Linked DNA regions of Saccharomyces cerevisiae S288C. The gene in region 2 interacts genetically with the main gene of each other region. Each region holds a gene or a part of one and is shown on either strand. Other genes may lie near its edges.

Region 1 (3,836 bases), on a different chromosome or scaffold from region 2:
AAATATACATGAGGATCAAGGGATACCAAAAGTAATTCTGCCCGCTGATTTTAATAAATGCTCTAGAACTGACCTAGTGGTGCTCATATCACGAATGTTAGTATCGCTGATAGCAATCAATGAAAATTCAGCAACAAAGAAATCTGATGACCAAATTACTTTAACACGATACCATTCTAAGATTCCTCCAAACATATCAATCTTCAACTATTTCATACGACTGACAAAGTTTTCCTCTTTAGAACATTGTGTGCTTATGACATCACTCTATTATATCGATTTATTGCAAACTGTGTATCCTGATTTTACGCTTAATTCGTTGACTGCCCATAGGTTTTTATTAACAGCCACCACAGTCGCAACAAAAGGCTTATGTGATTCGTTCTCAACAAACGCCCATTATGCAAAAGTTGGAGGAGTACGATGTCACGAATTGAATATACTGGAGAACGATTTTTTAAAGAGAGTAAACTACAGAATCATTCCGCGGGATCATAACATTACGTTATGTAGTATAGAGCAAAAACAGAAAAAGTTTGTCATAGATAAAAACGCATTAGGGTCTCTCGATTTGGATTCTTATTCTTACGTTAATCGTCCAAAAAGTGGATATAATGTTCTAGATAAATACTATCGAAGAATAGTTCAGCTGGTGGGTTCCTTTAACGCTTCACCTGATAAGAGTAGAAAGGTTGATTATGTTCTCCCGCCAAATATTGATATAGTGAGTGAAAGTGGCTCCCAAACTACTCAACTAAAGGGGTCGTCATCACCCAATTCTCACTCTTCACAAAAGCGATATTCTGAGGCAAAGGACGCACATATCTATAACAAGCGATCAAAGCCAGATTAATGATTTTTCGTGGGGTATTATGAAAGCAATCATGATTGAGCAAAATTAAAACTTTCCATTTGTACATATATATATATATATATATATATATCTGTGTGTGTATAATAAGCAATTGGCCATCATTTGGCTAAAAAGTTCAAGATTTCAGGTAGTATATAAGAGAATAACTTCCCTCTTTTGCTAAAGAAGGATATGTTCTATTTCAGCCTTTTTGCATCATAAGAGCATAAGCGACAGAAAACACTTCGAGATGAGCTTGAGAACTCCATTTCAATTAACTTGATAAATACATGTAGATTCATATCATCACTGTTCTTTTCAGATACTAGTTTCAAAACTTCCTTGACAGAACCATTTCATGTTCAATAATGAAAATTACTTTCACATGTTTTAGTGGAAAAATACTGAACAATGAAATTTCAATATCGCATATAATAATTTTTGTTATCAAATATATATTTTTCGGAAGTCATATACATTAAATAATTAAAACATTATTTTTAAAAATTAAAAAAATATATTTTAGCAAATAGTTTTTACTTTTTTTTAAATGCAAAATAAGTTCACGTGATATTATTAATAATATTTTACCCAAAAATATGAGGGCATCGGAAAATTTTTCAGTAATGAATATTAATGTTCATCTGAAGATAGACGAAATAGGAACAACAAACAGCTTATAAGCACCCAATAAGTGCGTTATGACTTCTGAAAATCCGGATGTACTTTTATCTAGGGTGATAAATGTGGTGAGAGCAGCATCATCGTTAGCCAGTCAAGATGTAGACTTTTACAAGAATTTAGACAGGGGATTTAGTAAAGATCTGAAATCAAAAGCAGACAAACTTGCGGATATGGCGAATGAAATAATCCTCTCTATTGATGAGCATCATGAATCATTTGAACTTAAAGAAGAGGACATTTCTGACTTGTGGAACAACTTTGGAAACATCATGGATAATTTGTTAGAAATGTCAGACCATTCGCTGGATAAGCTGAATTGTGCAATAAACTCAAAGTCAAGAGGTTCCGATCTTCAGTATTTAGGCGAATTTTCAGGAAAGAATTTTTCTCCCACCAAAAGAGTCGAAAAACCTCAGTTGAAATTTAAAAGTCCAATTGATAACAGCGAAAGTCATCCGTTCATACCTTTATTGAAGGAAAAACCAAATGCTTTGAAGCCACTCTCTGAGAGTTTGAGGTTGGTTGATGATGATGAAAATAACCCCAGTCACTACCCCCATCCTTATGAATATGAGATTGATCATCAAGAGTATAGTCCAGAAATTCTCCAAATTAGAGAGGAGATTCCCTCAAAATCCTGGGATGATTCGGTACCAATTTGGGTAGATACAAGTACAGAACTCGAATCAATGTTGGAGGACTTGAAAAATACGAAAGAGATTGCCGTTGATCTTGAGCATCACGATTATAGGTCATACTATGGTATTGTTTGCCTCATGCAAATTAGTACAAGGGAAAGGGATTATTTAGTTGATACTCTAAAACTTCGCGAAAATTTACATATTCTGAACGAAGTGTTTACGAACCCTTCAATTGTGAAAGTTTTTCACGGTGCATTCATGGATATTATTTGGCTTCAGCGAGATTTAGGTTTGTATGTCGTTGGTCTCTTCGATACTTACCATGCGTCTAAAGCAATCGGTCTTCCTAGACATAGTTTGGCCTATCTTTTGGAGAATTTTGCCAATTTTAAAACTTCAAAGAAATATCAGTTGGCTGACTGGCGTATAAGACCGCTTTCAAAACCCATGACGGCATATGCTAGAGCAGATACTCACTTTTTACTAAATATATATGACCAGTTGAGAAACAAACTTATCGAGTCTAATAAGTTAGCAGGTGTTCTTTATGAATCAAGAAATGTCGCAAAAAGAAGGTTTGAATATTCAAAGTACAGACCACTGACACCTTCTTCAGAAGTTTATTCTCCAATCGAAAAAGAGAGTCCTTGGAAAATATTGATGTATCAGTACAACATACCACCTGAGAGGGAAGTATTAGTAAGAGAGCTATACCAATGGAGAGATCTTATTGCAAGAAGAGACGATGAATCGCCACGATTTGTTATGCCAAACCAGTTATTGGCTGCACTTGTCGCATATACACCTACTGATGTCATAGGTGTTGTTTCTTTGACCAATGGCGTAACTGAACATGTCCGCCAGAATGCAAAACTATTAGCTAATTTGATAAGAGATGCATTACGAAACATCAAGAACACCAATGAGGAAGCTACTCCCATTCCATCTTCCGAGACCAAAGCAGACGGAATATTGTTGGAGACTATAAGTGTTCCTCAAATCCGTGATGTTATGGAAAGGTTTTCGGTGTTGTGCAACAGCAATATTTCCAAGAGCCGAGCCAAGCCTGTCACTAATTCTTCTATTCTGTTGGGTAAGATTTTACCACGTGAGGAGCATGATATTGCATATAGCAAAGACGGCTTGCCAAATAAAGTGAAGACGGAAGATATCAGGATCCGAGCACAAAATTTCAAGTCTGCCTTAGCAAACTTGGAGGATATCATATTCGAAATAGAGAAACCTCTCGTTGTTCCTGTCAAGCTAGAGGAGATTAAGACAGTAGACCCTGCGAGCGCACCTAATCACTCGCCTGAGATTGATAATCTTGATGATCTTGTTGTTTTAAAGAAGAAAAACATTCAAAAGAAACAACCAGCAAAGGAAAAAGGTGTAACGGAAAAAGATGCTGTGGATTATTCAAAAATTCCGAATATCTTATCTAATAAGCCTGGCCAAAATAATAGACAACAAAAGAAAAGGAGATTCGACCCATCATCTAGCGATAGTAATGGACCAAGGGCAGCTAAAAAGAGGAGGCCTGCCGCCAAAGGTAAGAATCTGTCATTTAAAAGGTGATTATGTAAAACAAGCGTATTTTTTTATTTATAAATTATGGTAATTTTCATTTAAGACCTCTAAATTCATCTAATCGAATA
Region 2 (3,286 bases):
TGCTTATTATACCGTTGTAGATAGTTGACAGAAGTGACTTCGCCCAGAGGAACATTAATGTGTCTTGTGTAACTGACATCATGGTCGGACTTTTTCTGTTCTGGGTGAGTTATAGGTCTTAGGGTTTCTAGCCATTGTTCATTGTCAGCCGCTCTTGGTGCATTATCAGGAACTTTCGTCGAATATACTCTTGGTAAAAATCTTTCAAGCCGTAATTCTCTTTTGAAAACGCTAGACCAAGCTATCGACATATCTAGATGCTCTGGCCGAGGACTGATTCTTGATGATATTCTCAGTACGTACACATCCTATTAAACGCTAAATAAACCAGCATGTTTTTTCCTTCAGTACTATTTCGGGGAAGTGAAAATAATAGATAGAACAAATAAAATATTAAAAAGCTCTTTAAAAAATAATACAATTTTTCTCTTTCTTCCCTCCCACTCAACAAGTATGTATAACTCTATCTAACTTGTGCAGGCTGGTTAAATAAAATGTGCTTATTCTAAAACTATGTCACCTTCTTTATCTACAGGATAGCTTTCCGATGGAGCATTTATTTCAGACTTTAATGAATCTATCTTCTGGATCATTTTTTTCATAGAATGTGCATCATCACCGAACATAAGCATTTCTATATCGTCCCATTCTTTTCGCCAATGGTTTAGTTCCTTTGTCAAAGTAGAGAGTCTTTCCTTTAAGGAATACTTATTCTCTAAACCAAATTTGGCACGTGCCATTTTGATCTGATCTAGATAGTTCTTGATTTGAGCGTCTACACCACGTATATCAGTATCAGGCGCACAGTACTGCTCGAGAATACCCTGAAGTTTCTCAGATGGAACCCATTTATCCATTTCATACACTGTCACTGATGGATCAGACACTTCCACCTGCTTTGCTAAATCAACAGAAAGTCGCTTCAGTAAATTTATGTACCTTAAAGTATCCCTATTCAAATGTTCGAAAGTAGAATAGTACTCGCTAATACTCTTAGGATTCTGTACTCCCGCTGCAACGTCCCTTCCAGTTTTTGTATCCTCCAAAAGCTGTGCTTCTCTTGTTTGATATTTATCGTATCGCAGGCGGATGGAACTATTTATCAGCTCCCTGTGTAAATCAGGCAACTTCTTGAGGGATTCAGTAAGCAGATCATCAGATGATCTAGGGTCTGCCAATACTGATAATATATCTAAAATATTTAATAAGTGGGTTTGGCTTTCCTGCAAACTTTGTTCCTCCTCGCAGAGAGATTCAAAATACGTACGACCTTCTTCCTTTGTCATGCTATGAACTTGATAACTTGAGCAGTGTAAACCTGATAAACTAGTCGCTGTTGTTTCTTACTGTAAGATACTGCACTTCTGCAGCTTCTTAAGTATTCTACTTACCAAGTTTCTATTATTTTTCAATGCGCGTACATAAAAAGCACTTCGGGTAAAACAAACACTTCATAATAGCAGACCAAGTACTGCGGTACTCACATCAAATTAAGAGGAAGAAGGGAGTATTAGCGAGCGGAAAACTGAAATCTGGATATATACTGATCAGAATCAGATTGTGAAGCATTTAGAACCATGAATGACGACAGCCAGGATAAAATAATACATGATATACGTATTCAGCTACGAAAGGCTGCCACAGAATTATCACGATGGAAGCTATACGGCTCCTCAAAGTGGGCAGCAGAGGCGCTAGCAGGTCTTGCAGAAGCTATTGATGTTGATCAAACACACTCTTTAGCCGATGAATCGCCACTAAGAAATAAACAAGGTGTACCGAAACAGATGTTTGAAATACCACAAAACGGGTTTGGCCTATCAGAGACTGAGTATGACCTGTACCTCCTTGGTTCTACGTTGTTTGATGCTAAAGAGTTTGATCGATGCGTTTTTTTTCTAAAAGATGTCACTAATCCATACCTTAAGTTCTTAAAATTATACAGTAAATTTCTATCGTGGGATAAGAAAAGCCAGGAAAGTATGGAAAATATCTTAACTACAGGGAAGTTTACGGACGAAATGTACAGAGCTAACAAAGATGGGGATGGTAGTGGGAATGAGGATATAAATCAAAGTGGGCACCAACGCGCCAATTTAAAAATGGTCAGCAATGAGCATGAGTCACAATCGAACATATCATCTATTTTGAAGGAAATTAACACATTTCTGGAGTCTTATGAAATAAAGATAGACGATGATGAGGCCGATTTAGGGTTAGCACTGTTGTATTATTTACGAGGGGTCATCTTAAAGCAAGAGAAGAATATTTCTAAGGCAATGTCGTCATTCTTGAAATCTCTGAGTTGCTACTCCTTTAACTGGTCCTGCTGGCTGGAGTTAATGGACTGTTTACAAAAGGTTGACGATGCATTGCTTTTAAATAATTATCTATATCAAAATTTCCAATTCAAATTTTCTGAAAATCTTGGTAGTCAACGAACGATAGAATTTAATATAATGATCAAATTTTTCAAGCTAAAAGTGTTTGAGGAGCTTAATGGCCAGTTAGAGGACTACTTTGAAGATTTAGAGTTTTTGTTACAAGTTTTCCCCAATTTCACTTTTTTAAAGGCTTACAATGCTACTATTAGTTACAACAATTTGGATTATGTTACCGCAGAAAGCCGATTTGATGACATCGTTAAACAAGATCCGTACCGTCTCAACGATTTGGAAACCTACTCCAATATTCTATACGTCATGCAGAAGAATTCAAAATTAGCCTATTTGGCGCAATTCGTCTCCCAAATAGATAGATTTAGACCGGAAACATGTTGTATCATAGCGAACTATTACAGTGCCCGACAGGAACATGAAAAATCTATCATGTATTTCCGTCGAGCACTAACTTTGGATAAAAAAACAACAAACGCATGGACTTTGATGGGTCACGAATTTGTTGAACTAAGCAATTCACATGCCGCAATAGAATGCTATCGTCGGGCCGTAGATATATGCCCTCGAGACTTCAAAGCATGGTTTGGTTTGGGCCAGGCTTATGCTCTCCTGGACATGCATTTATATTCTCTTTACTACTTCCAGAAAGCTTGCACTTTGAAACCTTGGGATCGTCGGATTTGGCAAGTATTGGGAGAATGTTATAGTAAGACGGGAAATAAGGTAGAAGCTATAAAATGCTACAAAAGATCCATAAAAGCTTCACAAACGGTCGATCAAAATACTTCAATATATTACCGGTTAGCGCAACTATATGAAGAACTTGAAGACTTGCAAGAATGTAAGAAGTTCATGATGAAATGTGTAGATGTGGAAGAACTTCTGGA
Region 3 (3,836 bases), on a different chromosome or scaffold from region 2:
CTTCAATTGTGTCAAAGTTGGTTTTGGTGTAGTCTTGTAGGAACTCAATATGATGATTTGCAAGTGTGATAATTCATTGAAGATTTTTTGCAGGATTTTCAATTTTTGCTGCTTATCCAAGAAATTAAAAATTCTAGGCATAATCTTGATACCTTTATCAAATGATAGCATCGAAATGAAAGGGTTTACGTCATATGAACTGTCGTCGATGTGAAGGGCCTCCCACATTGCAGTGCTGTCAGTTTGCTGGCCATTCCTCAAGTTAGCTTCCAAGTCTAAAATCTCTTCATAAACTGTTTCAATTAACTCAAGAATGAATTTTTTGCCCCCAGATTTGTTCAAATTTGTGGCACCATTACCGTTGTTGAACGCGTATGAAGATCTTCTTCTTTGCTTAGAAGCAACAGCAGCGGCAGAAGAGCCCGTAGAGGAGGACCCTGAAGAGGCCAAGTCCACGTTGGTCAGAGAGTCAGTGACGTCTTTTAGCGCATCGGGGTCAGAAGGCTGTTGTCTGGGGATCTGCAGTTGTCTTCTTGGATTCTTGCTGTTCAAAGTGGAAGAGATTTTGCCCAGAACCGTGTTTGCTTGCTTATTATCCTGGCTAGAGTTACCAGCAGCCGCTTGTTGATCCTTCAACTTAGAAGGTCTTTCCTTAGCCACAGTGACAGCCTTTTCTACTTGACTTTGCATTCTCTGTAGGGCAATATCGGTTCTCTTATAGCGACCACCGAGTCTGTGTCCAGAATGTTCCAAATACGCCCTAGCAATCAAACCTTTGTTGGATTCGGACGTGATACCGCCTCTTTGGATAATCTTGTAGACCTGGAAGTAGAAATCCTCATTGTAAGGGTCCTCAGTGACAATTTGAGACAACTGATATCTGGTGATGAAGTCCTTATCACGAGGAGTCATTAAACCTGAGTATTTCAAGATTTTCTCCACTTTGGCATGACGAATCTGCAAACGTCTTTGCTCTTCAGGCGACAAATCTCTCTTCGATCTGCGTCCACTTTGCAGAGGCATTTTAGTTGCGCCAACCACAGGGCCTGGAGAAGGAGTGTTGGACATACCGATGGGTGAAGGCGAAGCTTGAACTGGAACTTGTACAGGACCCATTGGCATTTGATTCATATTCACATTAACGCCAGGAGGTGGAGGTGGAGGCGCAAATTGTGAGGGACCTGGTTGACCCGACGCAGGCTGCATTGGAAATTGCTGCTGAGGCGGACCCTGTGGGAGACCCTGTGGATGACCCATGGCGTGGAAATTCATAAACTGTTGCTGCATTTGACGTTGTTGTCTTTCCAAGTCTTGCATCGACAAGATTGGCTGTAGGGGGGCCATTTGCTGCGGAGCAGGAGCCGGAGCCATTGTACTTTGGGGTGAAGGCGCCATTGCTGGAGGTGGTGCAGTAGACCACAAAGATTCCATTGGCTTCAGGTCTAGAGGTCCTGCTGCTGCCGTTCCATCGGTCCTAGGGCCGCTAATTCCTTCTGCAGTAGCTGCAACATATGATCTAGCCGTGGCACCGACGCCATTACCACCAATTGCGTTGCCGCTGCTGCCGCTGCTGTGAGGATTTCCAAAATCAAAGTCGGTACCAACCTGAACATTATCACCAAATGTTTCGTCGTTCAAATAGTCGTTCTCCTCAAGTTCGTGCTCGCCATAGCCCTTGTAACTCTCTTCAAAGTCCAGAGGACCATCCCGCGCATTACCGCTATTTTCTAACCCAAAGAAGGACATTGCTAGTGCTTCTTGCTGCTCTTACTTCCGGTTAAAACCTTTGCTTCCTTCAAGGTGTACATGTTTCTTTTCATTCACCTTGTTTCTTTCTTTAAAAAGAGGAAGAGGAAAAAAAAAATTTCGTGTAATGCGAGAAGAACAAATAGGGAAGTGATAACAATAGTATCAATAACAGGCTGCAATCGGGGCAATTAAGCATCAGAAGAGGGGAATTTGATGCGGCTGGGGAATGCTTATGCGTATTGCAAGCCGTCGCAAAATGTTGGGCTGAAGCTGGACTTGTTACGGGGTCTTCCAGGGTACGTGGGTCACGCCACGAGTAGGATCAACCGGTTAGAGAACCAGGACAATTACTCCATTAAAATGATGCGGTCGTGGCCTAATGCGTATGGAAGTGCCCTGAACTGCTCTGTATTCGATGGCCATGGGGAGAAAGGTGCGCAACTGTCACAGTTGTTAGCCGATAAATTGTGCAGTAGCCTGGATTTCCCTGAACCCTCCTGGGACAAGCAGGACTTGAAGAAGTTGGTACAGGAATATGCAAGAAGGTTTCCCGAGGGAAATTACTGGAAACATAAGCTGTCCACGTTTGAAAAATTCTACAACAAGTTTATAAAGAACTGCAACTCGAAACAAGAACTGCTGCTGATGAAGGAGGGCGATAGTGCGATCCTTGGACAAAATGGTGGCAGGATGATTTTTGATAAAATGGGGAATATTATTGACAAAATTGCACTGCTCACTGAGCTAGACCGTCTGCGATTGTTCTACGGGTTTGCCAGGTTCGATCTCGACCAATGCTGCGGCCTGGGCACCGCAGCGGGGTCCACAGCGTCGTCCATATTTCTATATCCGTATGATGATCCGAATGCACCCATTGATGAGGGGAAAGACGATGACTCGTGGATCATATCGCACTCTGGATTGCTCAAACTCATTGTCACGCAGGTGGGCGACTCTAAGATCATCCTCTGCGATCAAGACGGGATTGCACACGCATTAACAACAACTCACCACATCAATTCCAGTAGGGAACGACACCGTTTGAGCATAGACCCTTCTCGATTGGACCCAGACGCCTTTGGAGAGACAAGGTTTTTGAATAATTTCGCCAACACTAGATCGTTTGGTGATGTCGCTGGGAAACCGTATGGTATATCTAGTGAGCCGGATATTTTCTCGTTTCTTGTCGGAAATACCTTGCATTTGCCGCGATCTGAAAGGTCGAAGCTGCCCTTCAATGGTGATGAATGCTTCCTGGCGCTTGTCACCGACGGCATCACCAATAAACTTGCAGACCAAGAGGTTGTTGACCTCATCACCTCTACGGTGAACTCCTGGGGACTGAAAAAGGCGACTCCTCAATTTGTTGCAGAGGAGACAATCAAATTTATTCAGGCAATAGCCACTAAACACTCAGACAACGCCACTTGCGTGGTGGTTAGGCTTTCCAATTGGGGCAACTGGCCCAATGTTGACAGAACTGGCCCCCAAAGAGAAACCAAACTAATGAATGCACAATCTAACGAAACAAAATTAAACTAAACACCCCCCTGGGTGGAAACAAGTCCTAGATAATCATCTTTTGTATTTTTTTTCTTCCTTTTATTAGTATGTATACATATATATTACTTTTTATATTCTTTATAGCGCATTTTAAACACCTTTCTGAAAAAATGCTGAGATTTTTGATGCTAATCGAAAGATTAAAAAAAGGTCTATAGAGGTAAGCCAATAACGCGATGAATAACGGTTCTGGTCGATACTTGCTGACTCCCCCAGATGATCTTCACCCCTATGTGCCAAGCTCGAAACCTCAGGAACAAGTATACCCTGATTTCAAGCCTTGGGAGCACACTGCAGCAGAAGATCAAATCCTAGCAAACTTTGTGGCTAAGGGCTTTTACCATACACCAATGGTAAATTTCGAGTCCATATCTGCGAGATCATCTGTTCATGAATCATTAGTCACTCAATCCAACATTCTTTCCCAGCAATTCGACAAAATTATCAAGATTAGAGAAGACCACATTAATAAGATCCCCTCAAATTCCACGACGACATTACACGGGCCTGGTTTTCAGTTGCCT

What was found.
Region 1: mutations in THP2 (region 2) and RRP6 together harm fitness more than expected from each alone (negative genetic interaction), as found in Saccharomyces cerevisiae (5 studies listed by BioGRID).
Region 3: mutations in THP2 (region 2) and PAT1 together harm fitness more than expected from each alone (negative genetic interaction), as found in Saccharomyces cerevisiae (5 studies listed by BioGRID).

Annotation. Positions count from the first base shown.
Region 1 is NC_001147.6:325,278-329,113, forward strand, and holds RRP6 (exosome nuclease subunit RRP6), read left to right. Parts: upstream 1-1,554; coding exon 1,555-3,756; downstream 3,757-3,836. Other genes in the region: PHO80 (Pho80p), read left to right, coding at 1-853. UniProt on the Saccharomyces cerevisiae protein: Nuclear-specific catalytic component of the RNA exosome complex which has 3'->5' exoribonuclease activity and participates in a multitude of cellular RNA processing and degradation events.
Region 2 is NC_001140.6:437,342-440,627, reverse strand, and holds THP2 (Thp2p), read right to left. Parts: upstream 1,287-3,286; coding exon 501-1,286; downstream 1-500. Other genes in the region: putative GTPase MTG2, read right to left, coding at 1-251; anaphase promoting complex subunit CDC23, read left to right, coding at 1,578-3,286. UniProt on the Saccharomyces cerevisiae protein: Component the THO subcomplex of the TREX complex, which operates in coupling transcription elongation to mRNA export. The THO complex is recruited to transcribed genes and moves along the gene with the elongating polymerase during transcription.
Region 3 is NC_001135.5:250,883-254,718, forward strand, and holds the start of PAT1 (deadenylation-dependent mRNA-decapping factor PAT1), read right to left. Parts: upstream 1,747-3,836; coding exon 1-1,746. Other genes in the region: type 2C protein phosphatase PTC6, read left to right, coding at 1,963-3,291; SRB8 (Srb8p), read left to right, coding at 3,489-3,836. UniProt on the Saccharomyces cerevisiae protein: Activator of decapping that functions as a general and active mechanism of translational repression and required for P-body formation. First decay factor recruited to mRNA, at a time when the mRNA is still associated with translation factors.